4 linked regions of the Elephas maximus indicus genome follow. The protein of the gene in region 3 purifies or fractionates together with the protein of the main gene of each other region. This does not show direct contact. Links are inferred from orthologs where the notes say so. Each region holds a gene or a part of one and is shown on either strand. Other genes may lie near its edges.

Evidence for each region.
Region 1: the proteins of VAPA (region 3) and PITPNM1 purify together in Homo sapiens (co-immunoprecipitation; 4 studies listed by BioGRID and IntAct, counting the BioPlex papers as one, with this or other methods). This does not show direct contact. The link is inferred for Elephas maximus indicus from reciprocal best matches to the Homo sapiens genes VAPA and PITPNM1.
Region 2: the proteins of VAPA (region 3) and VDAC1 fractionate together in Homo sapiens (co-fractionation; 3 studies listed by BioGRID and IntAct, with this or other methods). This does not show direct contact. The link is inferred for Elephas maximus indicus from reciprocal best matches to the Homo sapiens genes VAPA and VDAC1.
Region 4: the proteins of VAPA (region 3) and PRKACA purify together in Homo sapiens (affinity purification with mass spectrometry; 4 studies listed by BioGRID and IntAct, with this or other methods). This does not show direct contact. The link is inferred for Elephas maximus indicus from reciprocal best matches to the Homo sapiens genes VAPA and PRKACA.

The regions. Positions count from the first base shown.
Region 1 is NC_064825.1:130,535,865-130,542,889, reverse strand, and holds the start of PITPNM1 (membrane-associated phosphatidylinositol transfer protein 1), read left to right. Parts: upstream 1-4,014; 5' UTR 4,015-4,199; intron 4,200-5,130; 5' UTR 5,131-5,162; coding exon 5,163-5,240; intron 5,241-6,841; coding exon 6,842-7,025. Other genes in the region: CDK2AP2 (cyclin-dependent kinase 2-associated protein 2), read left to right, coding at 1,143-1,349, 1,436-1,568, 2,311-2,378. UniProt on the Homo sapiens protein: Catalyzes the transfer of phosphatidylinositol (PI) between membranes. Binds PI, phosphatidylcholine (PC) and phosphatidic acid (PA) with the binding affinity order of PI > PA > PC. Regulates RHOA activity, and plays a role in cytoskeleton remodeling.
Region 2 is NC_064820.1:146,391,138-146,398,158, forward strand, and holds the start of VDAC1 (voltage-dependent anion-selective channel protein 1), read right to left. Parts: upstream 3,016-7,021; 5' UTR 2,907-3,015; intron 1-2,906. UniProt on the Homo sapiens protein: Non-selective voltage-gated ion channel that mediates the transport of anions and cations through the mitochondrion outer membrane and plasma membrane.
Region 3 is NC_064829.1:13,045,871-13,053,110, forward strand, and holds the start of VAPA (vesicle-associated membrane protein-associated protein A), read right to left. Parts: upstream 3,012-7,240; 5' UTR 2,745-3,011; coding exon 2,666-2,744; intron 1-2,665. UniProt on the Homo sapiens protein: Endoplasmic reticulum (ER)-anchored protein that mediates the formation of contact sites between the ER and endosomes via interaction with FFAT motif-containing proteins such as STARD3 or WDR44.
Region 4 is NC_064821.1:32,762,629-32,769,982, reverse strand, and holds the start of PRKACA (cAMP-dependent protein kinase catalytic subunit alpha), read left to right. Parts: upstream 1-4,342; 5' UTR 4,343-4,408; coding exon 4,409-4,454; intron 4,455-7,354. Other genes in the region: histone chaperone ASF1B, read left to right, coding at 747-923, 1,264-1,470.

The sequences.
Region 1 (7,025 bases), on a different chromosome or scaffold from region 3:
GATCTTCATCAGTAAGCACTTCCAGTCCTCTTCACTTTCAGCAAGGCTGTGTCATCTGCATAACGCAGGTTGTTAATGAGTCTCCCTCCAATCCTTGAACTGAGGACCTGCCAATCCAGAGAAAAAGGCTTGGGTGGTGGCGTCGGAAGCTGGACCCGTTGCCATGGGAACGAACGAAGGCTTTAGGCAGCCGCATGCGCAAATCGGAGAGAGGTTATTGAACCGGGAAAAGGTGACGTAAAAGCGCACAGGGTGGGGCGCAGGGCTCGGAACGTCAAAGCCCTGAGTCCTTCGGCGTCCGGAGAGGGGGACAGGCGCGCTTGGCGGCGGCGACCGCGGCGACAGCAGACCCAGCCGAACCGAGACTGGGCCGAGGTCCGGGCGGCCCGAAGCTGACGCGCGAAGCAGCGCTAGTAAGGCGCAAGTAAGGCGCCGAGAAGACCCCTCTGCGCGATCCGCGGCGGCCCAAACCCAGATCCAGGTTCCGAGGCCCCGCCCCGGGAACCCTGGGACTAATCGGATTGAGAGCGCGCCGGCCCGGGCCGCGAACTCGCCAATTGTGGAGGGCCTCTGCCGCCACCCAATCCGGAACAGACAGGTGCGAGGTCCGGAAGACAGAGGCCAATCAACAGCGGTTGCGGCCTGCTGGGGCGGGTCTCGGCCAGTGAGGAGGTTTGAATGACATTTCGGCCTGCCAATCGGGAGTGAGAGAGCCTTCGAGCCCGCCCGCCCTTCCGGCCAGCGCTCTATTTACCAGGGGCGTGCAGCCCGCTTGCCAATCAGCGCGCAGCTGAGCGGCCAGCAGCCAACCCCGGAGCAGCGGCCGGCCGGCGTCCGCCCGCACCCGAGAGTCGGGGATGTCCTACAAGCCCATCGCCCCCGCCCCCAGCAGCACCCCCGGCTCCAGTACCCCTGGGCCCGGCACCCCGGTCCCTACAGGTGAGGACCCAGCTCCACCCCTGCTCGCCTCCCCGGGCGCTCGAGGTCTCCAAGAGAAGACGGCCTGAGTTCTGCAATACCGGGCCTGCCGCCTACCCTCCTGGAGCCTCAGTTTCCTGGCCTGCGAAGTGGGCGTGGTGACGTAAGGGCTTGTAGGTGGGGCGCAGGGGGTGGGGTTTGTCCCTGAAGTTGACCAGCCTGGAATGAAGCATCCTTTTGGAGGGAATCGGAAACACTCGGCCCGGGGCTTGGAACGTTGGGAGGAGGCGTCCCTGCCCCGTGCTGACCTCTTCCTCGCGCCCGTTGCAGCCGGAAGCGTCCCGTCGCCGTCGGGCTCGGTGCCGGGAGCCGCTGCCCCTTTCAGGCCACTGTTCAACGACTTTGGACCTCCCTCCATGGGCTATGTGCAGGTGAGTGGGACGGCCAGCTTGCTTAGGGATGAGGGCTGGTAGCCCACCCGGGGCCTGAGCTCACTGCCCTGTTCTCTTTGGCTTAGGCAATGAAGCCACCGGGCGCCCAGGGCTCCCAGAGTACCTACACAGACCTGCTGTCGGTCATTGAGGAGATGGGCAAAGAGATCCGGCCCACCTATGCTGGAAGCAAGAGTGCCATGGAGCGCCTGAAGAGAGGTAAGCAAGCTCAGGCGCACCCTGCCCTGACGCCGAACAACCTCTTAGGGAAGGAAGGCCATCTGGAGGCCACCTGAGTGGAGCCTAGACCTCGAGCCAGTGTCACTATCCAGAGAGGGGTTTTGAATTAAATTTAAATCGAGACCATTTCCAGGGAGGGGACTGGGTGTTGGCATTTTAACAAGGAAAATTTGGGGTTTAGCCAAGCCTCCCATCTCATCCAGTCTCTTACTGAAAGGAGGCGCCCTGGTGGCACAGTGGTTAAGACCTTGGCTGCTAACCAAAGGTTTGCCTCTTTGAATCCACCAGCTGCTCCTTGGAAACCTAATGGGGCAGTTCTACTCTGTCCTATAGGGTTGCTATGAGTCGGAATCAACTCCACGGCAACAGGTTTGGTTTTGTTTTGTTTTTTTTAACTGAGAGGAAGGAGCCCTGGTTGCACAATGGCTAACTATTCTGCTAATAACCAAAAGGCTGGTGGTCCGAACCCACTAAGTTTTTCTGTGGAAGAAAGATCTAGTGATCTGTTTCCATAAAGATCACAACCTAGAACATTTCTTTGAGGCAGTTCTACTGTGTCACATGGGGTCACTATGTGTCAGAATTGACTGGAGGGCGCTCAACAACAATAACTACAGACGGGAAGAGGGTGGAGGGGCAGGATCTTCCTCTGGAGGTTGGGGTGGGCTCTGGAGGGTTGCTGAGACCCCGTATGTTACTCCCCCACCCCTCCCCACCCCAGGCATCATCCATGCACGGGCCCTAGTCAGAGAGTGCCTGGCTGAGACAGAGCGAAACGCCCGCACGTAACAGGAAGCGCCTGCACCTCAGCGTCCGGACCCTTCCAGCCACTGCAGAGCACCAGCTTCTCCCTGGCCTTCACCCCGAGTTGCACTCCCCATCCTGGGCCTCCTGTCCTGTGTCCCTTGGTGGGTGCCCTCCAGGAACCAGGGGCAAATCCCACTCCGATCAGCAGCACTAACTGAGGCCCCGTGCAATAGTTAGCAGCAGGGTCACTATGAGACCCACCCATGACCTACCAATAGTGTTGATCCAGCTGGAACGTTCTCCTTTCTGGGGCCTCCACCACTCAGCACTTATCCAGCACTGCTGACCACTTTGTGTCCCATCCCCTTGTCCCCCAGCAGGTCTCGGAAGGCCTGTCACCTCCCTGCCTTGTTTCCTGGGCCATAGCAACTCTTTTCTCAGTGTGTCTTTTGCTAAATATGCCCTTTTTGTATAAAATAAAGATGATTTGAAGTTGTTCTCTCAGCTTTGAGCCTTTCTGGGTCTGGTTCCTCTGCCAAGCCTGGGTGGGCCAGACAAGGAGGGGAAGGGATGGGGCGGGGAGGTGGAGTGAGATGGGGCAGAGACCGACTGAACCTGGCCTGGCCTTGCTTCTGCTGCCCATTGTCCCTTGGATGGGCCCCAGCTCAGGCTCTTGGCCTTCCAGTTGTAGGTGGTGGAAGGGGTTGCAGGAGTTGAGAGCCCTGCACCCCTTCGTGTGGTGCCACGAGGGGGCAGCACAGGGCCTTGGCTGCCCGTACAGCTAGCGGGCACTGCTGCTAGCCTGGGCCTACAGGGCTCTTCTTTGGATTACAAGTAGTGCCTGGCCGGGTGGCCGGTTCACTTCTGCCATTCCCTCATATGCCTTAATGCCCTAACAACATCCTCCACTCTGAATCTGCCCTGGGAGGCTCTGAGTACACCCCAGCCCCGACTCCTTAGAGGAGAGGGGCACTCTCCACTGCCCAGCACTGTTTTCCTGGCAAACAGGGTCAAGGGGAGAGGACTGGCCTCCAGCCTGGGTGAGACCCAGCTGGGTGCTGCCATCCACTGGCCCAGCACCTTCCAGCGGGGAGGGCGGGGCCCAGTGAGCCCACCTGCTGGCCATCTGCAAGTGTCTTGGCCTTTGCCCAGGGTCTGGTATCTGGGTGGCCGGACTTGTGGACCCGGAAGGTACAGGTGGAGAAGGCCTTGGAGTGCCATTAAGGGGCTGACCCAAGAGTTTGGAGTGGCAGCCTATGCCCCGGTCCTATAGTTGAGCGATCGTAGAGGCCTGGGGCCCTGAGACCCCAACCCCAGGCAGAGGCAAGTCAGAGTCCCCAGCTTCTGGCAGGACTTGAGGGAGGCACTTCCCCTGCCCTGAGTCACAGGTTCCTGGGGCTGCAGAGGGTGAGGGGCTTCCTGTAGGGATGGTGCAACGCCACAGCAAACTCCGCCACTTCATTGTACACTGGAGGGCTGGGCCGGGGTGGCCTGGAAAGCAGGAGTACCTTGGCGGCCCCAAGCAGCACCCAGGAAGTAAGTGCCAGCGTTTGGCGGAGGGCCTCTCCTTGCTGCCTGCTAGTAGGGAAGGAAGGGGCCAGCCCTCCGACGTCGTGGGGAGGGCCAGCGGGCCCAGGAAGGGGGTGGGGCGGCAGCAGTGACGCGGCGGGCAGCGGGGAGGTGACTGCAGGGACGCCGGCAGGCGGACCGAAGGAAGGTCGGAGCCATGGGCCCGCGCTGCTCCTCCGGGGAGGCCGGCCACTGCTGGAACCCGAGGCCGGGGCGGGGGGCGCTCCGGGCTCCGACCCACGGCCCGGCCGCCTCCGCCCGGGTCGGGTGAGGGGCGCCGCTCCCCAGCTAGAGGTGAGCTGGGACGTCAGCGGGCGGGCCAGGAGCTCAGTGAGGGACGGGGACGCCGGGGAGCACAGGGAAGTGGAGACAGCGGGGCCTCCAGCCTGTTCGCTGGGTGCGAGATGGGGAGTGGCGGGGGTGGGGGGAAGTGCCTGCAGCTGAACCGCCGCGCCGGCCGGGGAGCAGGTGGGGGGAGCGGCCCCCAGATTCCGGGGCCGCTGGGATACCCAGTGGTGCCACTCTGCCTTAGCCTGAGGAGGGGTCACGCCCTGAGTGGATAGTGGGGCGGCCCGTAGACGAGTGGAGAGGCGACGGGGCCGGGGGTCCAGGAAGGATACTGGGGAGGGGAAGTTGAGGCCCGGGCTGCCGGCCAGGCGGGGAGGGCAGGTGGGGACCAAGGGGCGGTCTGACCCTGGAGGTAGGGGCAGATGGGGCTAGGGACCCCGGCAGGGATGCTGACGGGTGGGACGCGCAGGTCTGTCCTCGGAGAGACGCCCGAGGAGACAGGGCTCTAAGAGGATGTCCGAGTGGGGGACCCCGGAACCCCACCGACCCGGGAAAGGGTTCGGGGGGCGGGCCGCCAGGGAAGGTGGGTCCAGAGGACCGGCCAGGGCACCCGGGGCTAGGTTCCCAGGATGCTGCAGAGAGGGGCTCCAGCCGCGGTCACGGCTGAAGGGGCGGGGCTTCCTGGCGCCCGCGGGTCCGCGACGCCGCTCCGGGGGGCCCGCGTCAGCGCACGGTTGTCATGGTGACGGCGGGCGGCGGTGGGGGGGCTGCGAGGAAACGAGGTCAGCGCTCTGCGGGCTGCGCCCTCGGCCCCCGGCGGTCCGGCTCGCCCCGCCTCCCCGCGGCCGGCATGGGGTCCGGCGGCCCGAGCCCCCCGGGACGCGCGCAGGGCTCGTGGCCGCGCGCCGCCCCGCACTGACGGCGGTGCCTACGCCAGGCGGAGCGGAGGCCGTGGGCCCAGCGCTGAAGATGCTCATCAAGGAGTACCACATCCTACTGCCCATGAGCCTGGACGAGTACCAGGTGGCCCAGCTCTACATGATCCAGGTGAGGGCAGGCGAGGGGACAAGGGGCCTGCGGCATGACGGGGACAGCGACGGGAGCGCGCAGGCTTGGCACTATCCAGGCGCCGCACCCTGAACGCAGCCAGTCCTGCCCCGGCTGAAAGGGCTCAGACAGAGCCCAGGGAGCAGAGAAGCCCCTCTTCCACGTGGGGTAAGGGCTGTGGGAAAGGGGCAGAAGAGCCAGTGGCGCCTCCCTGCCCCCCACGTGCCCAGCCCAGGTTGGACGCTCAGCCCACGCATGAGCTCTTTTAATCCTCCTCGGAGTCGGTAATCCTGTGGGGGAAGGGGAAGGAGCTGAGGAGGAGGCAACAGTGAGAGGTGGGGGGAGAGGGGGCCAGGGTCCTGGCAGCTGCAAGAGGTCAGGGACACGGGATGAGAGTCAGGCCCCAAAGCTGTGGGGAGGGAAGGGGAAGGCAGGGGCCCCAAAGGGTGAGGGAGCGGTCTGGGCTAAGAGGAAGGGGGCTGGGGCAGGCCTCAGAGAGGCCAAGGCGCTGAGGTCTGTTCTCCAGAACTGTAGGATTGGAGCCTGAGGAGGCAAGAGGGCCCAGATGGGCCTCAGGCAGTTGAGTGGGGGCAAGTCCTGACTCCAGAGATGTAACTGGGAAGGGCCTGGGGTTCTCCAGCTACTAGGGGTATGGTAGGAGCTGGGAGGAAGGGAATCAGGGTCAGGTCCTCAGAGAAGTGGAGTTGGTTAATCGCCTTGATTCTTCCATTCCAGCCCTCTCTAGCCTCCTTGCTGCTACTTGAGCCTGCCCGACACCCTCCCACCTCACGGCCTAGCAGGGGCTTCTTTCTCCTTTGCCTCCAGTACTCAATACCACTCTGGTCCCCCAGCCTGCAGACGTTTTGATGTCTGCATGGCTCACTCCCTTACCTTCTTCAAGTGTTGGGTCATGTTTCTTCTCAACCAGGTCTCCCCTGACCATCATATTAAAACTGCAGTCCTCAATCCTTGAGCCCCCTTTCTTTGTTCCACAGCGCGCACCACTGTTTAACATACCGTAAACCAAACCCGCTGCCATCGAGTTGATTCCGACTTACAGCAACCCTATAGGACAGAGTAGAACTGCCCCATAGGGTTTCTGAAGCTCTAATCTTCACAGAAGCAGACTGCCCTATCTTTCTCCCACAGAGCTGCTGGTCAGTTCAAACTGCTGGCCTTTCAGTTTAGCAGCCAAGCGCTTTACCTCTGTGCCACCAGTGCTTCTTAACACACCATATAATCTGCTTTTATGTTGTCTCTCTCGCTCCACTTGGATGTAAGTTCCGCCAGGGCATGGATGTTTGTTCTGTTTGATATATCCCAGTCAATATAATCCCAAACAATTCCTGGCACAGAGTAGGCACTCAATAAATGTTTGAATGACCGAATAAGTCCCCACGGGGGACTGGGCAGAGGCTGTTGTGATCCTGATCCCAGGGAGCTGAAGGGGCCAGGGCCAGGTTTCAGGGAGTTAAGAGGGCTGGGATTGGGGCTCCAGAGCTGTGCGGGGGGCCAGTCTGAGTTGGGGGTGCCACAGGATGAGTTGGGAAGGGCTTCACTCCTGGGTTGAGATCCCTGTTCTGCTGTGCCCTGGGCTGCAGAAAAAGAGCCGGGAGGAGTCGAGTGGCGAGGGCAGTGGCGTGGAGATCCTGGCCAACCAGCCCTACACGGATGGGCCGGGCGGCAGCGGGCAGTACACACACAAGGTGTACCACGTGGGCTCCCACATCCCAGGCTGGTTCCGGGCACTGCTGCCGAAAGCTGCCCTACAGGTGGAGGAGGAAT
Region 2 (7,021 bases), on a different chromosome or scaffold from region 3:
CGAACACATGCCAAGCCCCCAGGACGGTGCTGATCAGGCCCTTAATAAAGAATTGCTAAGATGATGATGATCACACATTTATACTGGGAAAGTGAGGCACCAGAAAGTGGCTTGACTTGTATTAGACCCTACAGCTCATGTCACCTGTGTTCTGAGCCCAGACTGCTTTCCAGGTCTCTTCCCAGCCCTATTCTAGGTAAAGGGCTTAGAATCCTATTCATCCCTACACACACCCCCCCTGACTGTGCCAGGCTCAGTATCTCACTGGTCACCTTTCCTTGGCAGCTACCACAGGAATCTCTGGGGAACCAAAGGCCATGGACCATAGACCCTGTGGGCACCCAGAAGGACTGTCGGAGGTTGGGCTATGGAAGGCTCTCAGCATAGATATTCCCCTCCCAGTCACTATCAACAAAGACTTTGTTGTTGTTGGTTGCCGTCAAGCCGATTCTGACGCATTATACCATGGGATATTCCATCAAGGGTAAAGTGGACTTCAGTGCCTCTGCAGCACTGAATGAGCGGTTAGCGCCTTCATCGCCACCAGCCTGGAGCTCCTCATCCACATCTGCCCAGTGTCCAGCAGACCAAAGGCCCACGGGCACCTCCTCACCATATGGTCCCCAAGTCCTGAGCTCCAGGTTTCTGATCTGTAAAATATGTCTATAAATGGCTCCCCACCCTAACTCCCATTCTAGAACTGCAGAGATAAAACTAAATAATCAACTGAGAACAGCTCCCTCTCCCAGTGGGGTCAGGCATAGGCTTCACCCAGGGCACCTCCAGCAGAAGCCATCAACCCACCCACTCACGCACCACTACAGAGGGAGGGATGCCAGTTCAAGGCCTTTCAGAGAATCCCAATTCACCCATGTCACCCTCCTCTCAAGCCCAGAAACACCAGTTCAACAAGTTTCTGGACTTGGACAGTCACAGAATGAAGATAATGCACTTCAAGCAGTTATTTCAAAATAGGAAATACAGTAAAACCTGCGAAAGCTGGAACTTGTGTAAGGCAGAAACCTATCAAAAAAGAAAAATGCAAATATTTTCCACTAAAATGAGCAATAGAAAGGTGTTAAGCCTATACCCTGTCAAAGGCAGAAAACTTGTGAGACCTGGAAAAACATGGCAGTTCTGGCTCTCACAGGTTTCACTGTGATTTTTGCCTCTCACGGCTCCAAGGCTGTATGTACATACCATTGTAGATCTTTAAATCTTTGAGACTCTGCTAAGTGAGGCCATTTTCTGGAAGTGAGTGAGATGTGTGTCGCCCAAAAAACGATGTCCAAGATCCGGGACTATGGTCTGGGCCTGCAGTCACTACCTATGCCCATTCAATCATTCCACACCTGAGCACCTACTATGTGCCAGATGCCTGAATAATAAAACTAACCTTTTGTCAATAACAGTGAGTCAACTCTTAGAAAAAAAAGCAATAGTGCACTTACCCCCACAGATCCTTCTCAAGCACCTACTGTCTGCCAGGTGCCACTGCAGGCCCTAAGAACAAGGCTGCACCAGGTCGAAGCCTGACCCCCCCAGGAGCTCAGTCAGACCAGAGCTGGAGTGGAGAGAAAGAAGGCAGGCCCTGGGGAGTCAGCCCTGGCCTAGGAAAGAGCAGAAATCTTGGCAAAGGAAGAGCCCATTTCCCTATCCTCTCTGGAGAGGGGAGGCTGGTCAAGAAGATGGGGCCATGGGGTGCAGCCGGGTCTCCCCCTGCATTCAAACTTCCTGCCCCAGCCTGACTTTATCAGTCTGTAAACTTACAAGATTTTTTGTGAATTATCCTTAAAGTTACTCAATGCTTTGCACACAAACGGTTATTAATAATACCTCCATAATGTTTAAAATAACAGGGACTACATTTTCTGAGCCCTTTGGAGAACACCACGTGGAGGAAAGCGCTCTGAGGAGGATGGACTTGATCTTCCCCAAAAGTCTGAAGCTGGTTAAGTTTCATGGTTTTTACCGAGGCCTTCTTGGAGTCTGGCAAGGTTCTGAAGGTTTTACAACTTAATCATCTCACTTTATTCTTCCCAAAATCCCCAAGAAGGAGAGGTATAGCTGCTCCCATTTTACAGATAAGAAGACTTAGGCTTGGTTTCTTCCCAGTTGTGTGACCTTGCACAACTCACTTATGCTGCGGGCCTCAAACCCAAAGTCGAGCTCCTAGTTCCCTGCATGCACACAGCCGTGTTCGGTGAATGAATGAGTGACCGAACCAGAAATCCCTTCTAAGGCCTCAGGGGCCACAACGATCCCCGCACAGCCTCCTCTTCTGAGGCCTAAACCCGAGTCCAGCCCCTGAGGCCTAAATCGACTCTCCGGCACCCGTTCCGCCCGGGGAGGCGCTGGCCCGCGCGTACTGCCGGGTGGCAGCTCCTTCGGGCGTGGACTGGGCAGAGCGTGCGGGGCGCGGGGCCGCAGTCACCACCTGCGGCTCATCCCTGCGGCGGCAGTGTGGCCCGCACAGGGCCGCGGGTCTGGCCCGGGCAGCGTGGGCGGCGGCGGGCGTGCCCCAGCCCGAGCAGGGCTGTCAGAATCGTGGGCCAGAGGGCGTCAAGGAAGGTCACCTAGACCCGCTGCTGGCCGGGGCTCCACGCGGCTGCCCGTGCCCTTCCGCCCGCATGTCCGGGCGGCTTTCGTTCCTAGCCGCAGGCGCCTCTGGATCCCCGGCCTCCCGCTCCCCGCCCGGGCCCACTCGGCACCCGCCCGTGCGGCCTGCTCCGTCCGCGGCTGACCCGCCAGGCCCGAGCGGACCGCTCCCTCTCCCTCCCTCAGGCCGGGCTCGGGGGCCCCTCGCCCTCGCCCGCTCCTCCTCCCACGTCCTCCCTCTCAGCTACCCAGGGGCCCGGTCGGCGGCATGGGGCGCAGGCAGAGACTGCCCTTCCCACTGCGCCTACCTCAGAGGCGGCAGCAGCGGGTTCAGTGGTGACTACGGCGGGGGCTGCGGCGCAGACGAACCCAGCGAGCGGCGGACCGGGGGCGGAGGCAGCGCGGACGGCGGCGGCGCGGACCCGCCCCCGCCCTGCGCTCCCAGTCGGGCGAGCTCCGCCCAGGGCCCGCCCCGGACACCGCCCAGGGCCCTGCTCCGGGCCACTCCGGTTCGCACCAGGCGCGCTGACCCTTCTAGGCTCTTAAGCGCCCTGAGCGGCCGAGTGTGCTCGCGGTCGTGTGCGTGTGTGTGTGAGGGGGAGTGCCTGCGTGCGCACGAGCACGGGGCGACAGCGAGGGGTGGGACTGACGTGCGCACGGATCTGTGCCTGCGCAGGGACACGCCTGGCGGCCCCGCAAGGGCTAGTCATTGCTGGAACCTCCGTCAGGGTAGAAGCGTTCGGGGAGGGGGGTCTGGTTAGCTGAACGGTGCCGAGGGGACCCCGCGCTAATACAAGATTCTCAGGCTACTGGGCCTCCCTCTCGGCCTCGGGGCTGGGAGACCACCGGGAGTTGATGTAGCGGATGGTGCTGAAACAGGGCCTAGCCTGGGTGGGCGAGGTGGCTCTCAGGCCACGGGGTATTACAGCCGGCTGCGAGCCCCTGGAGACAGTTGTAGGCGGGGCTGGGGAACTGGGAACCGGAGGTGGCGTGGATACAGAGTAGCGGCCCGGACTGTTGCTCCTCTGCGCTGCTGACACAATGCTTCCGGCGTCTGGGTCCCGCTTGCACAAGGCGCGGGATTGGCAGAGCCTTGCGCTAGTAGGAACGATCACGGAGAAAACTCCCCTCTGCGCCGAATTTGCACTGCAAATTAGCACTTTTCCGCTATAGCAAAGCTGCTCGCAAGCCTTTTCCGAGAAGTAAAAAACGTTGCGTTTTGCAAGAACGTCCCCAGCTGGGTATCACCACGCGCCGAAGTAAACGGTGATTCCGGCCTGCCAGTCGAGCGCATCGCGGGCAGCCCGCTTACAGCCCCGGGCCTGGCCCTGCACCGCGGCTCTCGGTTCATGTGTGTGGTGGGGCCATCGCTGTCCTCGCTAAGCTGTGAACGCGTGATGACTCAAGCTGCTCATCTAGTTCACCACCGAGTGTCCCCGGCGTCCTGCGGGAGGCCTACCGGGAGCAGGCTTCGAGAATTAACGGATTCACGCTGAATGCAGAGTCTGCGGGCCATGCGCTTAGGCCAACAAACGTCCCCGAAGGCGGAAGGTGTTGGGCTACAGAGCCAGCTGCGGAACAAGCGAAAGGAGTAGGCAACTGGAGCAGGCAGCAGATTAAATGGAAAAGTGGCAACTGGCAACTCGGGTTAGAAGTGGCAGGGTGTTGAGGAAGAAGAGAACTCATAAAGGGCAGCCCAGAGAATGTAGACAGGGCTCACACGAAGGCAGCAGTTCACTCTCTGAGAGGAGAGGGGAGGGCGGAGAAAGACACTGAGTCACCTACCCCGTGCAGTGAGGCAGAGTTTGGGAGGAAAGGGCCTCAGAGAGGCAGGGCAAAACCAGGTGGCTTCGCGCACACGGGCTAGGAGCGGATGCTCTACTGTTGGAATCTCAACTTTACTAGAATTGTGACTCATTGACTCCTCCCCACCACAGCCCGAAGGAGGGAGGAGGTGAAGGCAGTCTTTTACACCAGGTAATAACCTCCATCCCCTTCAGCCCCTCCCCCACAACTGATGGAGCTGAGGGTAGGCATCTGACCCAAACCCAGCCAATCAGTTCCTCTCTTGCAAATTTAACTAAAAAACCCAGAGCCTTGTGGGACTCTCTAGTCATTTGGCCTAATTATGTTTTTAGAGTTGCTGTTCTACTCCCTAGTTCAGTGAGTACTGCAGCCATCCAAGATACAACAATTGGTCTGTATCTGCCAGGAGCAGCAAAGGAAAGAGACCCAGGAATCAGAGAAGGAGCTGGATTGCAGATCTAACTGCCTCCATGAACTACTGCCCCTTAGCCATGAGATCAGAACTGGATAGTGCTTGGCTACCATTACTGAATGTTTTGATCATGGAATCAATAGATGAATCCTGATCAAAAGGGGGAAAATGTGGAACAGAATTTTAAATTCTTACAGAATCCAGACTTACTGGACCTATTGAGACTGGAACAACCCCCAAATCTATCACTCTAAGAAAATCTTCAAACCATGAACTGAAATTGTCCCCTGAAGACATCTTTACATAGCTAAATTAGTAAAGAATGTTCTACATGAGCATTGTGCTCTTTTAAAGAATTATGTATATGAGATCAAATCGTCAACAGTGGCTCTAAAGCAAAGATGAGAAGTTTATGCAATAGAGTCTAAAGTTAGTGGTGGTGAAACAGTACGGGTAGAGATAACAAGAATGGTGACGCAATGTGAAGAATATAACCAATGTTATTGAACTGTACATGTAGAAACTGATGGATGTCCTGCTGTGTATATTTTCACCAAAACAAAAACAAAAAACCCAGAGCCTAAGTGAGACAGAGGGTCTTGGAGCCCTTGGGTCTCTCAGGTAGACCTGGGTCTGATGGTCATGTTGAGTCTTGAGAAGTTAAAGAGACCATTGTACAGAGCACCTGGGCAGGGCGGCTGCAGGCCCCTGTTTCATGAGCTGCTATTACTCTTCCTGCGCTTGGGTTTCCTTGGGCCATTTAAATAACCACCCCCCTTGAGCTTGATCCAGCAAGAGTGGGCCCCTGAGGAAGACCCTGGATTCCTGGTGAGTGGGAAAAGGGGATTTGTGGGAATAGAACAGTCTCGACAGCAGTTTTTCTTTAGGAGAATGATCTCTCTTCCCCTCCTTTCAGTTGATTTGCTTTTTTGGAGCTGACTCCATCTCTGGACCATCCCTTTGGACCAAGAAACCAACTGAGACTTTTCCTGGAGCTGTTGAGAGAGACTGAGACTTCCCCTAAGAATGAAGCCAGCCCATAAAAGAGAGACAGAGACCAGGTCCTAGGGACATCATGCTCCTGGATCTAGCTATGCCTGAGGCTACCTCCTGTGATTCCCAGCTCTCTGAGCCAATAAAGTCCCTTTTTGCTTAGTCCAGTTTGGACTGGGTTTTCTTCCAGGTCCTAACTCAGTACTTCCCTTTCCTTCAAGCAGAACATACAGGGAAACCCTGATTGTGTAGTGGTTAAGTGCTACAGCTGCTAACCTAAAAGTTGGCCGTTCGAATCCACCAGATGCTCCTTGGAAACTCTATGGGGCAGTTCTACTCTGTCCTATAGGGTCGCTATGAGTCGGAATCGACTCGATGGCAATGGGTTACAGGTAGAATGTATAGTATCCAGGACAGATTAGGTTTTTCTTTTTAATATTGGAATAGTGGTTAAGCACTCAGCTACTAACCAAAAAGTCAACAGTTCAAACCCACCAGCCACTATGTGGGAGAATGACGTGGCAGTCTGCTTCTGTAAAGATTACGGCCTCGGAAACCCTATGGGGCAGTTCTACTCTGTCCTATAGGGTTGCTATAAGTTGGAATCGACTTGATGGCAATGGTCTTTTTTTTTAACAAGTGTAAGAATATTTTATTTTAGGGAACTTCTTTCTTATATCTAACTTACAGCCATAGGGCTTCTACTTAAGATATTTACCAGCATGGAAAGCAGTCACTCACCCTTCTAAAAACCTATATTGAAACACTTTTCTTTTCAAGGCCAGATGTCCCTGTACCTCAAAGTGACTTATTAGCATTGCTTTTGCCAAATACTTGAAGATGAAGTCCATGAAGGTAGAAATGGAAGATACAACTTATACAAATTATTTTAAAGGGAAAAAGTATTCTACTTTTAACCAGCATCAATTACCTTGATTACAAAACTGAATTATCATAAAATCTAACCTTTTCTAACCATTTCCCAATGAACTCATCAGATTTGAGTCTGGGTAGGAGGAATTAGGATTGAGAATTGGTGGTCAAGTGTCTCAGGTCACACTCACATCACTGTACCCTGACCCTCATCATCCAGGCGAGGACACACGCAGGCCTCCTCTCCAGTGATATGGAGAAGAATAATCAATTGAGAAAGGAGCCCTGGTGGCACAGTGATTAAGCAGTTGGCTGCTAACCAAAAGGCTGGATGTTTAA
Region 3 (7,240 bases):
ATGTCAACATCACAACTTCTATAGGGAGAAACCTTTGAACCCTGCTGACATTTTCTAAACTAAATCTGGTTTCTGATTTCCTAATGGCAATACACACATGGTTATCCAGTAGAGGAAATTTCCTCTGTAAACTGACGTTCTCAAAAGGTAAAAACAAACAATCAGTGGCATCATTAGGGTTGGTGTCACCCAGTGTAGTAACTCAGGATGTCACCTCCTCGTGGACCTCCTCCTGTACCAGACCATACAGGATCCTCAATAACATTTTTTGTACTGTTACTCGTACACCATAATTCTCGTCTAACACTCCTTCTTTTCCTTTAATTACTTTATTTCTCCAAAAAAAAAAAAATAGTTATTGATATAGGGTCACAAATGCTAATTACCACAATATTGTAGCTACAACACCAGAAAATCTGACGAAATCAGCGACTATAAATACACCAACAGCGAAGAATACAACAGCCTGTGCATGTAGTGTGTGCAGATGAAACCACATGATTCAAAGCACGACTCTAACTGGGCAACGACCGCTCTGACTGGAGGGCCTTGGAAGGTTCCAAAGCAAATCAGCACAGAGTCTTGGCCGTGAGGGTATGTTGATAAACGTAAGCTGGGCTTACAAAAAAACGTTTTTGTTGTTGTAACTACAGGGATACTCTTATGAAAACAATAAATTTCTGCTGAAACTCTGCACAAAAATTTTATAGACATTTTGGTGTCACCTCATTCTGAAAGTGTCACCCAGTGGGGTGCACACACCCCCAGTGATGCCACTGCAGAATACTAAAACGCTAGAAGACCATAAAGGTTTTCACTAAAATTCCTTCAACTTAAGACAACAGTTATCTGAATTAGGTAATTTCAAGATCCACAAAGGTTATTTTTCTCCCAGCTAAAACTATGTAAAACCATGCAGTACATACAAACTTGCTACAATAAAATGCACTCACTGCACCTCAAAATATTTCTTAAGAGTTGTCTTAAATTCTTACCTAACAAGCAGCTCACAATTCCATTCAAAGAAATTTGCAAATGCACTAAAAAAGCTTGCAAAGTAAAAGAGGTATGCACCTTACTCTCAATTCCAGAGTACGGTATTTAAAAAAAACTTCCTAATACTATTTTAAAATTTTCCTATAGAAAGCAATCTATATTTTTTCTTTTAGACTCAATCTTAAACAGCAATAAAGGATCTAACTTTGTCTTCTAGCACTGGAACTGGTACTTATCTCACGAAAATTGTTTTCACCATAGCTACTGAAATTGAAATGTAGGAGACTGGCTTCCATTCCAAAAGGAGATTCACTTCACATTTAACTAAACATAGGAAGGAAACTTTCTTTTCGGGATCTTCACACTCTTGAAGTAACCCACCCCCCCCCCCAAAAAAAACAACTGTTCAGTTTAACTCTCGTCCCTAAAGTACCCTACATACTGAAAAGCGAACAGGCCAAACGGTACCAGATTCTTCCAGGATCACAAAGTTAGACTGATAAACTTATCACAGGTATTGCTACAAAACAGGAGCACTGGTGGCGAAATGGTTAAGTCCTCGGCTGCTAACCCAAAGGTCGGCAGCTCGAATCCAGCAGCCGCTCCTTGGAACCCTATGGGGCAGTTCTACTCTGTCCTATAGGGTCCCTATGAGTGGGAATCGACTCCGACGGCAACGGTTATTGCTACAAAATAAGTCAACGAAGTTCCAGAGCTGGGTGACCCCTCATCGGCCTTTTCAGGGTTTGCTGGGAAACCGCAAACCTGAAGACAAAAGTCACAAACACTGAAGATTCCGCAGCAAAGAGCTAAGCTAACAGGCTAAACAACAGCTGACGAACATCAAGTGCGCCCTAGGCGGATGGCAAACTGAAGTGTCAGCTCAGAAGACGACGACCTACTACTATTAACCCAGCACTACCACTCCTCAGACTGACGCAGAGCTTTCCTCCTCGCCGCGCTACGGCCCCGCCAATCTATCCAGGTAAGCGACAACCAGGGGACCGCAGGGGCTGCCTTCGGCGTTCGATACACCGAACTGCCGAGTTACGAACTCAGCGGAGAGAGCTGACCCCAGCCGGCTCCCTCCTCGGCCGGGACGGGACGGCTCCCCTCCAGCTCCGGGGCAAGGAGCCGCTGTACCACCCGCTCGCCTCCCACCAGCCCTGACAGTCGGAAGCGCTCGGCGACGCAGCTTGCGCCACCTCCAGGTCCCCGCCTTCAAGCACAGCCGAGAGCACACGCTCTAAGGTCACCACCCACCCGCGCCCTCAAAGCGAAGCCAGACGGCCACCGGGGGCCGAGGTCCAGGCCAGGGCGCCGGGCTCAGCGAGGGGGCCCGCGGTCCCAAGGCCCGGAGGCGCTCCCGGGGCCCAAGATGGCGGCGGCGGCGGCGCCAGGTCCGGGCCGGGCCCTCGGTGGCGTCCCCGCCAGTCCGCCCGCCCGCGCGCGCCGAGAGTGCGTGTCAGGCGGGAGGGGAGAGGAGGCCGGAGGAAGGGCTGCGCGGAGCGAGCCTGGAAACACAAGTGCCTGCGCGTGGGGGAGGGTCGGGCCGCCGACATTCCCTCAGCGCCCACAGCCCGCCCCGGAGGAAAACCCACGGCGCTCTCCGCCGGGGAGGCGAGCCCCGTCGCCCCCCAGGGGTCGGCGGCGCCCCCTTCCTGCCTACCTTTAAATTTGAGGTCTGTGGGCGGGTCGAGAACCAGGATCTGCTCGTGTTTCGCCATGGCCCCGGAGGCGGACGCCATCGGAGAGGAGTGCAGGACGGAGGCGCGCCCGCGGCGGCGGTTTGCTGGTGGGGGCGGGGAACGACGGCGGGCACCCGGCTGCGGGCCGACTCGAGGACTGGGCCAGGCTCACCGCGCCAACCTCGCTTCCGCCCGCTGGTCTGTCGGCCGTCCCGCTGGCCGCCGGGTGGGTCCGCAGCTCTGGGTCTCACAACTGACTCAACCCAACACCCGCCGCCACGGCCGCGCGCACTGCGATCCTCGGCGCCCACGTGACGCCGCTGCGTGCCTACGTGCGCGGCCCCGCGCTGGGCCTAGCGCGGCAAAGTGCTGGTGCGCCTGCGCGCTCCCGCCGCGGCCGCCGCTCGGAGCAAGCCCTGCTGTCAAGGGAATGGGTGTGGACAAGGGCGGGGCTCAGATTCCCGGAGGAACACGGCGCGCACCGCAGGGCAGGAGGGGGTATTCCTCTAACGCAATTACGAAACAAGAGTGCCCGCTCTAGCAGAGCATCGGCGTCTTCCAATTAGGAAGGCCTATAGGGTCGCTATGAGTCGGGATCGACTCGACGGCACTGGGTTTAAAAAAATTTAGTGTAAGGAAAAAGGCGTAGCCGAGAGTCGCCCTTGAACTACAATTCCCAGCATACCGCACTTCGGGGCGGAGCCCAAGTGTGGGCCTGGTCCCTTGCAGCACTCTCGCGGTGCTTGCCGGGAACTGTAGTAGCCGCTGCTTGCGGGCGGGAAGGAAACTGAGGTCTGGCTAAGGTGAGTGGGATGGGGCGCTCTGACACGCATTTTGGCTCTCAGCGTCTCATCTGCGCTAAAAAGGAAAAACAAAAATGGTTGGACCAAGGACCCCTGAGCAGAAATATAAAAATCTACCCTGTAGAAAACAGGCTAGGATTTATCAGTTTGTTCTCCAAAGCTATCAACCTCTATTGGGAGATCCAACCTCTCCTGCTTTCCGAATTCCCTACAGTGATGCAAAATCCAATGAAGAAACACGCCTTATTTAATAAACAGATGCGTCGTTGGGGAAATCGGACAAGGCACACGTATCAAGCTAGAAATAAAGGTCAAAATCTGCAACGCTGAATTTAGTTGCTGTAGTTCTACTCCCCAGGTTTGATCAATGATAGACCCAAACCAAAAACAGTTGTCACGTTCACATGTTAGGAACGAATTCCATCTGCATCACTGATGATACCCAGTACCCAGCGCCGTCGAGTCTGTTCCGACAAACTCACTGATAATAGCTGGTCGTAAACTGAACCAAATAAGAAAAATCCAAGCAGCAAAGTTGCTGACCAATTTTCAAACGATCGCCATAGCGGTGGGAACAGGAACATCAAATGAAACAAACGAAGAATGTGCTGTAAACCAACCTTTACGGTACAGCTTGGATTTAAATCCCTAGGGAACACCACAAAGCAGAAGACTCAAAGGAGCAGCCCGGTCTGTCCAGAAAATAAATGAGACAATTGGAACCGAAATCTAAACACAGGCACGAAGTCCAAGTTTTCATGTGCAATCCAGGGATCAGAGCTTCCACAAAGAGCTCTCGAAAATAGCTAACCTAGCATTCATTCACAGAAGATTGTGCCCTGCAGCAGGAGTATACCTTCAGCCGTGAAGAACCTGGGAGGATGGGAGTCCTTGAATAGTTTGAAAGGCATATTCTGAACTTTTCTTTTCTTTGGTATCTTTTTATTCACAAATCTATTTCAAAAGTTCAATTATCATTAAAAGAGGGTACAAAACTTATAAAGTTAATCAAAAGAGGATTTAAAGAAAAAAAAAAAGAATGTGGTTGACAATCACTCCACAGGGTGGTGTCCCACACATACTTAGCTGTAAACTGACAACTAAAAGCCATCACCAACTCCAATGTTTTGCCTGCCTTGAAACCTCTCACCCATTGGTTAGTTAGCCAAGGGAATGGGAGCATTGGCCGAAATGGCTTCTACCCCCTCCACATCTGGATGGACGCTTCTGTTACCAGGAACTGTTTGGGAACCCCTGGTGTACACACAGCCAACTAGCAGGTATAGCATGCCAGAGAAGTTTCCAGTCACTCCCTTGTGGGACAATGATTTGCCATCCACCGCGTGTTCAGTGAGACACCTCAGTCAGACCACCCTAGTTTCCCAGTCTACCTCATGAAGAGCCTCTGCCCATTTCAAGTCATCCACCATTGGAATCAGTATTTTTTCTCTTCTCAATGTCGCTTCAAAATCATATAATCATAGTCTTAAAAATCTATAAGAATTTAAATATCTGATATTCTAGCAATACAGCAAGTATCTGTGGAGTAATTCTCCTGTTATTATTTTACGGCATTGCATTAATAATGACTCCACACCCTCCTGAACCTTCTACTCCTCATCAAATAGTGCACTACTTAAGTGGTTTGTTCTCTGGCATTTATTAATATCTTTCTTCTAGCAGTTCAGAGAACTTTACATACGTCATTAGACACCACTCAGAACATCTTTATAATAGTTGGCAAGTGCTACTTTTGTTGTTAACTATAGAGATGAAAGCACAGCTGAGAGCATCTTAAGACAGTAGTAGAGATAAACTATGGGGGAAGAGGGGAAAGTTGCCGAGTTTTCCAGCTGCGTGTTTTTGCTCTTCCCAAAGCCAAATAAAATGACAACCCATAGTGATTAAGGCAACAGTTTACAATGTAATTGAGTTATCTATTGTTTAATATGTAAGCTAGAAATCATGATACATGGGGCCTGATGATCAATCTCTTTGTTTTATTTCACTGATTAGCGCAGTACATAAAACTTCTTATGGTATTAGCAAAAATACATATACTCTTAAGCATGTTTCTTTAGCTACCAAATTTTCATGAGTATAAAATCAAAGCCAAACCCACTGCTATCAAGTCAATTCTAACTCACAGTGACCCTAGAGGACAGGGTAGAACTGCCCCATAGTGTTTCCAACGCTGTAAATCTTTACTGAAGCAGACTGCCACATCTTTCTCCTGTGGAGCAACTGATGGGTTCAAACCGCTGACCTTTCAGTTAGCGGCTGAGTGCTTTGAAAAAGGTATAAAGGCCTTGAATATTACTTCAACCTATTTGAATCACTAGTTAGTATTTACCTTTGGGCAGGTTATCTTCAAATGTTTGGGAAGGATTAAAAGAAAATAGTTTCCAGTAGAGATGGCAACAAAGTATAACCATCTCCTTCTCCATAATTCAATACGTTAAACATTACTCTAGAGGTGCTCTATAACTATGAATTTCTTTGTGAGTAATTAAATTCAATAAGCATTTAAATATTGAGGCACTGAAATGTATTGTGTAAGAGTACAGGCTTTGGAGCTGAACCACTGGGTTAAAATCCCATTTTCCACTTTGTGATCTTAGCAACTTATTTTGCCTCTCTGTGCCTGTTCAACATTTGTAAAATGGGGATAATAATATTACAGAAGTAAATGAGTGAATGCACGCAAAGAGCTTGGAATGGTGCCTGGTTGGGGCACTGTTAACTTATAAGTGTTAAATACTGACTTATTGCTGTGTGCCAGGCACTGTGCTAGGTGCAAGTGATATAGTGCTGAGCCCATGGACATGGTCCCTGCCCTCGTAGGCTTACATTCAAGCAGGAGAGATAAACAGGAAAGAACTACTACAATTCCTTTATTTGAATTATAGTGAACATTAAGAACAATAAGTCTGGGGAGCTGTGAGTGAGAATGGGGACTCGCAGAGTCTAGGGTTTGAGGATGATTTGCTTAAGGAAGTGACAAGGGCTATATTCCAGGCCAAGGGACCAGCATAAGTAAAAGCCTTAATCTGCACGTGAGCATGACTTATTCTGAATAATTTTAAAAGACCAATATGCTACAGTGAGTGAAGCAGGCAGTGAGTATCAGGAAGTACGGCTGGAAAAGCCAGGTGATGCAGATTGTTTTAGGCCATATTAAGGATTTGGATTTTTATCCTAAATAAATGGGAAAACATCAAAGGGTTTGAACAATGGAGTACTATGATCAGTCTTTATGAGATCTCTTGGCTACAGTGCAGAGATCGGATCAGAGGGAACAGAAGTAATACGTGTGGGTGGGCAGTTGACACCATCGCTATATTTCAGATGATGGAAGGTGGTATTTCAGAGGATGGTGGCTGGGGATACAGTAGATGCAGTGGAGATGGAAAAAAATGGATGGATTTGAGAGATTTTAGGTGTTATAATCAATAGGATTTGGGGGTGATAAGGGGAAATGAAATATCAGAGATGACTCCCCTTCTTTTGGCTTGTGCAGGTGGATACATGGTGGTGCCATTCAGGAATAGAGAGAATCCTGAAAGAGAACTAGGTTTGTACGTTAAAGTGCAGGAAAGGGAAGATCATGAGGTTGGTTGGGTGTAAGATGCCTTTGAGACTTTCATGGAGAATCATTGAGTAAGCAATAGGGTGTTCCGTTTGGAGCTCAGAGGAAAGAGCTCTGAGCTGAAACGCAAATCTTGGAGTCCTAAGCATGCATGATAATTGAAG
Region 4 (7,354 bases), on a different chromosome or scaffold from region 3:
TTAGCAAGGAGCCCTTTGTTTCATTTTGTACTGGACCCCACAAATTATATTGCTGGGTCTGCCCATAATGATGGAGTCCTGGTGGCGCAGTGGTTGAGATTGGCTGCTGACCAAAAGGTTGGCAGTTCAAATCCACCAGCCGCTCCTTGGAAACCCTGTGGGGCAGTTCTGATCTGTCCTATGGGGTCGCTATGAGTTGGAATCAGCTCGACAGCGGTGGAGTTTTTTTGTTTGTTTGTTTTGGTCCATAACGTTACATCTCCAAGACTGTTCACTTTTGTCTCTACTGCCTGGTCCCCAGGTTGGCTGCTGTAGCCTCCCAGCTTGTTTCCCTCCCATCACGTCTGCACATATAGCCAGAATCATCTATTCAGACTGTAAGTCTGACATGGCACTCACCTGCTAAAGACCTTGCTTCCCCAAACTCTTAACTGGCCCAGCAAGCCCTGTGTGGTCTAGTCCCCACTGCCAACCTATACCACCTTTGCCTTGCTCACTGCCCACACCAAGTAGCTTCCTGATGCCTCAGGACCTCTGCTGGAAACATCTGGTAAACACCTCCCGGTACCTGTCACATTCAAAATTTTACAGTCGTTTGTGTGATTGATTCTCTGTTTGCTTCATTAGATTGTAAACTTCTGAGGACAGAGACCATACTTTTTGCTCGGTAAATCCCTGTTGCTCAGGAATCATTGTTAACATCCATCAACTATTGCATGCTAAGGCCCAGGATGTGTTTCCCCTAGGCCGATGCCCCCAATCCATCCCTCATTCCTGAGACCGATGCCGTGGGTGTGACCGTGGTCCTCATCACCTGCACCTACCATGGGCAGGAGTTCATCCGCGTGGGCTACTACGTCAACAACGAGTACCCCAACCCTGAGCTGCGGGAGAACCCACCACTGAAGCCAGACTTTTCTCAGGTAGGGGCTGTCTCTGCACTTTCCTGCTTCAACCAGGTGGCCCCTTCACACTGGGGGAGTTGAGTCATTAGAATTGGGAGCCCGGGTTTTCAGTCATGCTCGATTCTTGCAGAGCCAGGCTAGGAAAGAAAGGGTCTTTGTTTCCAGAGACATGCCTCGGAGCTGAGAGTAGGTAGTGCTAAGCGGTAGCACAGGGCCTTCCCCTGAAGTTCCGTATATGGTTGGTGAACTAAGCAGGGCCTGTTCTTCCTGGGCTTGGGGTGGCAGCTGGGGTTGCCCTGGCTCTGGGGGAGTAACAGGGGGCACGTGACAAGACTTGATGCTCCTTTTCCTGCCCCAGCTCCAGCGGAACATCTTGGCTTCCAACCCCCGGGTGACCCGCTTTCACATCAACTGGGACAACAACACAGACAGGTTGGAGGCCATCGACAACCAGGACCTTTCACTGAGCAGCGGCCTCCCCCTCAGCTGCACTCCTGTCAAGGGCCTGGGCCTTCCTGGCTGCATCCCTGGCCTGCTCCCTGAGAATTCCATGGACTGCATCTAACTTTGGGAGCTCAGGCCCTGGCTGGGCTCAGCCAGGACCCAGACCAGTTTCCTGGCACACCTGGAGGAGGCACCTGGGCCTCCTGGAGAGTCATGTGGGACATCTGGAGAACTTTGGGGCTGTCACCTACATCGAATCAGACTGGGCCCCATGGAAAGAACAGGCCCTGGGTCTTTCCCAGCCCTGGCCCAGAAGGATCATCTCACATCTACTCCACAGGCCTGTAAGAAGGAGGTACTTAGTTCTTCATTCTTTCTGACTATCCCCTTTCACTGTTCCACACACACTATAAATTCACCTGGAGGCCATTGTGCTCCCTTGAGTACCACTGACCCAAAGCTGCTTCCCACAGACCTCCTGGGCCTGCCTGAGGCTTTCTTGGTCAGTGCCTGGCGAGGCTCCAGCCCTTTTGGATCAAAGGCTCTGCCATTCCTTCCCCTTCCCAAACATCTGAACAGAGCCCCCAGCTTTCTGGAGTCACAGGCAAGGAATCCTGGTTCGGATGTGGACTCAGATACAATGTCTGTCCTCCCCAGATTTTTGGTTCTTCCCAACCCAGCAGCCTCTAGAAAACGCAGCTCCTAAAGGTGTGACCAGCAGGTGCCTCTCTTCTCAGTCACAGCCACCTTCCTGTTACCTCTTAACTGGACCTGGCATTCTCTAGAGACTTCAGTGGTGGGGAGGTCGCATGTTGGAAGGGTCTGCTGTGCTCTGTTTTGGCGTTGGCATCAAGCCCCTCTACCTCTGCCAGCCTTGACCTGTCCTCTGCCAAGACTGCACACACTCATGGGCCACAGGTGAGTGTGGGCAAGGGAAGCTGTCAGGATCCTGAAAATCTTCCCTCCCCGGAATGCTCTCCACCTCTGCCCTATCCCCTCGCTGCTACATGGATGCTGTTGTGATTGCAGTTTGTATATTAAAGGGTTTTTATATTAAAAATGTTTGGTTGCGCTAAAAATAAAAAGCACTTCATTGAGGCTGTTTCTGCTTCTGTCTCAGGCGAGCAGGGACAGCTCCATCCATCCTATCCTCCTAATGGTGGGGTTGGCCTCTTCCTCCACTCAGTGAGTTGGGTGTCCCTTGCCCCCTTGCTTGACTTCTTACTCCAGTTCTAGCTGGTTGTATAGTTGTATTCCAGACTAAGTTTTGGGGAGAGTGTCAAATCTGGAGATAGAGATGAACAGTGATTTCAGACTTTGACCCTGGCCCACAAGAAGAAATTAACTTTTACATTGTGATCCAAGTATATACACAAAGCCACACTTGATTAAATCCAACTTAACCTTACTATGTAACTCCACAGCCTGCACTAGTATTTGGCTGGCCAGCCTTTTTCCCGTATTTCAGAGAAGCCCAAACTCTCCCTCCCTGGGGCTGGTGGTCAGCCTGAGAGGAGACGTGCAGACAACTGTGTGCAGTTAGCCCAAGTCCATAAGCAGAGCAATGAGTCAGCTTGTGGACTTGAGACTGGACTAGTCCCTCCAAAGTAGGGGAGCTGGCTGGTCCAGCCCCCAGCCTCTCTTGGCACCTCATGTGGGGGCCTTCCTCCACTTCAGTGGTTCTCAACTCAATTTCTGGAGACTTTGGCTGTAAGCAGTGGGGGCAGGAGGGAGGAAGTATGTGCTTCTGGTACCTCGTGGGTAGAAGCCAGACAGCCCCCCGCCCCCACACCAAGCATCCAGCCCCAAATGTCAGTCGGGTAGCATTGGTAAACCCAGCTCTACTGTCATCCTCAGGCTGTGATATATTAAAAGGGCACCCTAAAGAAGGACATCTTGCCCCTTCTATCCTCCGGGAGGGTAGGTTCCCTTTGCATTCTCCAGACAAAAGGAATGCAGAGTGGTGATTACCAGCAGGGAATCTGAATCCAGGAGGCCTGGCTGTGCCCCCGATTCCTTGGCTGTACAATGGGGATAATAGTGCCTACATGATAGGAATGTTGTGCGAAGTAATAAGGTGAACCAGTGCCAACTCTCTGCTGGTACGAGCCCAGGGTGGGCGCCCAGCAAAGGGTGGACACTGCGTGCCCCTCTCAGCCGCCCCCTTGCTCCCGGAGCCCAGCATCCTTCTGATGCTTGGGCTGTGGCTGGAGGCGACCCCGGGCGGCCTGGCCGCTGCTGCCCAACACCAGCCCTTATGAATGACGGTGGCCGGCGGCCCGGCGACCTCTGACCCTCGGCGCCGGCCGCGCCCCTCCCCCCGGGTAGGTGGACAGCGGCTGCGCCGGCGGCCCGCGGCGCCAAACTTGGCTGGCCGGCGCCCGCTGCCGCACTGGGCAGGGGCGGGGGACTGCGGCGCGCACGGGGCCGTCCGGTGCCTCCGGGCCGCCTCGTGGGCTTCCGAGCGCGGTGCGGCCTCCGACCAAGCTTGGCCGCCCCGCCTGCCGCTCGGGCCTGGACAGCGGACTGAGCCTCCGCCCCGCCCTCTCACCCCGGGATTGACACTTGAGGTTCTGCAGGAGGCCTGCCGGACCGCTCGCCTCCGCCAATCGGCGCCCGCCCTGGGCGGGCCCCGGGCCCTGTCGCGCGCCTCAGCCAATTAGGCTCGTCTGCCCGCCCAGCTAGGGCCTCGCGACCGCGCGACTGGCGGAGCATCCTCGGAGCGCGTCAGGGGGTCGAGAGCCTATGGCGGCGCGGAAGGGTCGTGGCGGGCCAATAGACAGCGGCGCGGCGCCGTCAGTCAGGGTGGCGCTGGCCAATGGGCGGTGGGCTGCGGGGGCGTCACGGACAGCAGCAGCGGACTTGGGCTGAGGTTCCCGGGCGGGCGGGCGCGGAGGGACGCGGGAAGCAGGGGCTGGGCGGGGGTCGCGGCGCCGCAGCCAGCGCAGCCAGCCCAAGGGGCCGCCGCCGCCGCCGCCCAGCGCGCTCCGGGGCCGCCGGCCGCCGCCAGCACCCCCCGCGCCGCAGCTCCGGGACTGGCCCGGGCCGCCGCCGCCGCGATGGGCAACGCCGCCGCCGCCAAGAAGGGCAGCGAGCAGGAGAGCGGTGAGTGCCCGGGCCGTGACCCCGATCGCGGCCCCGCTCTGCCAGCCCCCTCCTTGTCCATCACCGCGTGGCCCCTCCCCCACGCACCCCCCCCATTCTTCGCTCCTTCTCCCCAGCGCCCCTGCCTGTCCAAGGCTGGGGCCCGAAGGCCCGCAGGAGACCTCCCATAGGGGCACCCCTGCCAAAGGCCGCCCCCGACTGCAAAGGCAGTGCCCCCCCACCCAGCTGTCACTGCCAACCATGGCACGTATGACCGCTGGGGCCCCACATGGAGCCCTGTCACCACCCCCTCTCTTCCTGGCCCATCTCCCCAAATTCTAATCCCCCCACTTTCTCACTCACCACTCACAGAGATGGGACGCACTGCTAGACCCCGACTCAGAGTTGGCAGTCTGGGAGTGCTGTGGGGTCTGCTTCCACCCCAGAGGGACCTTGGCCACTTGGTGACCACACCCCTCCCCCCCTCCAGCCCCCGCCATCTTTCTCCTGCCCTTTCCCTTTTCACCTTATCCCAGCCCCCTGCCATCCTTGAGCATTTCCCCTGAAGCCACCTCCAGCATTGTTTTTCTCTTCTGTGTCACTTGGCATGGGGGACAGGATCTTTCTGGGTCCCTCTGCCCCTCTCTTGTTCTGTCACTCTCTGCCACTCTGCTCCCTCCTCCAAGTAAGCGCCTGCCCCTGGCTGGGAGAGCAGGCTGTTTATGAAGCTAGGGAACTGCTTCAGTGCTTCCAAAGACAAATTTGAGCCAGTCTTCCTGGGATTCATTGCATCCTCTTTTGCAGGGGGTGGGGTGGGAGTGGGGGCAGCTGCAGAGCCCCTTCCGCTTTCCTGCTGGGCAGCCTAGCTCCAGGCTCTTGGAGGGGGCCCCTCAATAAATGGTTGTTTCACAACTAAGGCTCCGTCATTCACCAGGTCCCCTGGGCTGCTTCACCCGCTCCTGGCGCTGGATGAAAAGTGGGGGGGCGAAGAGTGCCTGGCTTTAGCAAGGGCTCATTCGGCTTGAGCTGGGCTGGTGAGAAAGGGGATGGGGCAGTTGGGGAGAGTAGTGGGTGACATCTAGTGCCTTGTTTTGCCAACGGACAGACAGATTCTGGTCATTCCCAAGGCCCAGCCACAGGCTTGTTTCTTTCCCTCCCACCCTCACATTGTGCTGGCCTTTTCAAGCCAGAGAGAGAGATTCCACATCTGGAACTGCTTTCAGAAATGGCCTCGAGCCCCCTCCCCAGTTCCTCCAGCTCCTCAATTGTCACTCAGGCCTAAAGCTAGACCCCACCTGAGAGTCCCTTCCAGTTACCCAGAAATAGAGCTGAGAAGGGAGCTCGTGTCCAACTACGCTGTCCCTAGTTCCTGGTCTCAAACAACAGCGTGAGTTCCCTGAATGCCCCCTCCCAGAAAGACCTGGGCCTGCAAACCAGGGAACTTTATTCCTACAAATAGCAGAACTCAGAGGAACCAGGCGTCCACGGGGAGGCCTGACATGTCACCGATGGGCGGGGGACAGGGAGGCAAGTGCCTGTAGTTGAGCGCTTGATGACAGAGGAGCAGGTGGGTAGTGTCCAAAAAAGGTCTGGGCCTGAGCATGGAGGGGACTGGGAAGAGGGGGAGGGGCCAGCTCTCAGCAGGTGAGGCTGCTGGGAGGTGGCAGGTGGAGGCAGGCAGCTATATATTGCAGTGGCTCAGTTGAAAGTTGGGAAGATGACATAGTCCCGGAAAACCTTCAGAGTGTACCAAGCACGTGCGGCGGGGAGGTGGGAAGCCACAAGGGGAAAAGGATCCCCAAAAGGCTCCGGAAGGAACTGCTAATTCTCTCAGAGCACAGACCAAAAGACACCCAGGAATGGACTGTCACAAGGAAATAGAGCCACTGTGTATTGGGCATCTAGTGTGTGCCAGGTTAAACAGCCTCCATCGATCTGCTCAGGTGATACTCATAATGGGCTATTAGCCGAATTTTCCAAATGGACTTGCTCAGTTTGACGTAGGTGACGTCACAGGGGCAGGATTCACATCCAGATCCGCCTGGATCCCATAAGTGCACAACTCAGACATTCTCAACTCGCCTCCCTGATTTTTGCTTTAGTCACTTAAACTTTCTTAATTTAAAATAATAAAAACAACTCACTTTTCTTCAGACGTAAACTTTGACCCCATCTTGAGCAGTAATGTAAATGAAGTCATGGCATTGCTGGGCCAGATATATTTTCCCTGACACAAATTAAAATACATATGTAATTAGAAAAATGAAACATCGCGTACTCCACATTCAGCCAGTGGGACCAGTGTCACACTTTGGGAAACAGTCTAAGCTGTACTTCCTCCCCGAGCCTTGCAGGGGCTTCTAGAGAAGGAGATAGGATGGGGAAAGAGGCCCCTCTTTGCTTGGAAGCTCTGAAACTGAGAGGATGGAGTTACACTAAATTTGTCCTCTTCTAACCAGGGCGGGGCAGGGGCAGTAGCCAGGCAAGCCTGCAGGGGGCACCTGAATTTCATCTGCCACACGCCAGCCCGACTGTAAGGAAAATGCCCAAGCCTCACTAGGTACCAGTTAAGTATCCTGCAGCCCCCTACACCCTCATCTCCATGCCAGGGCAGGACAGAACAAGGTCTGCCTCTCCGGAGATCCAGAATGAGCCATGGGGTGGGGGTGGGGAATCTGCACCCAAAGATGCTAAACCATTGGCAGGGGCCAGGAGGGCAGAGAAAAATGACCGAAGTCTCAGGCTCTGGCCAGGCTGGAGGAATTGAGATAGGGCAGCAACCTCTGGGCTGGTGCTGGCAGAGGACACCCCTGGGAGTTGGCCACAGGGGAAGGAGCAGAGCTAGCGAGAAGCCCCCCAGATACTCCCCAAGCCTCCGAGAGAAACCAGTACAGGCACTGAAAGTGAAAAAAATGCCTCTG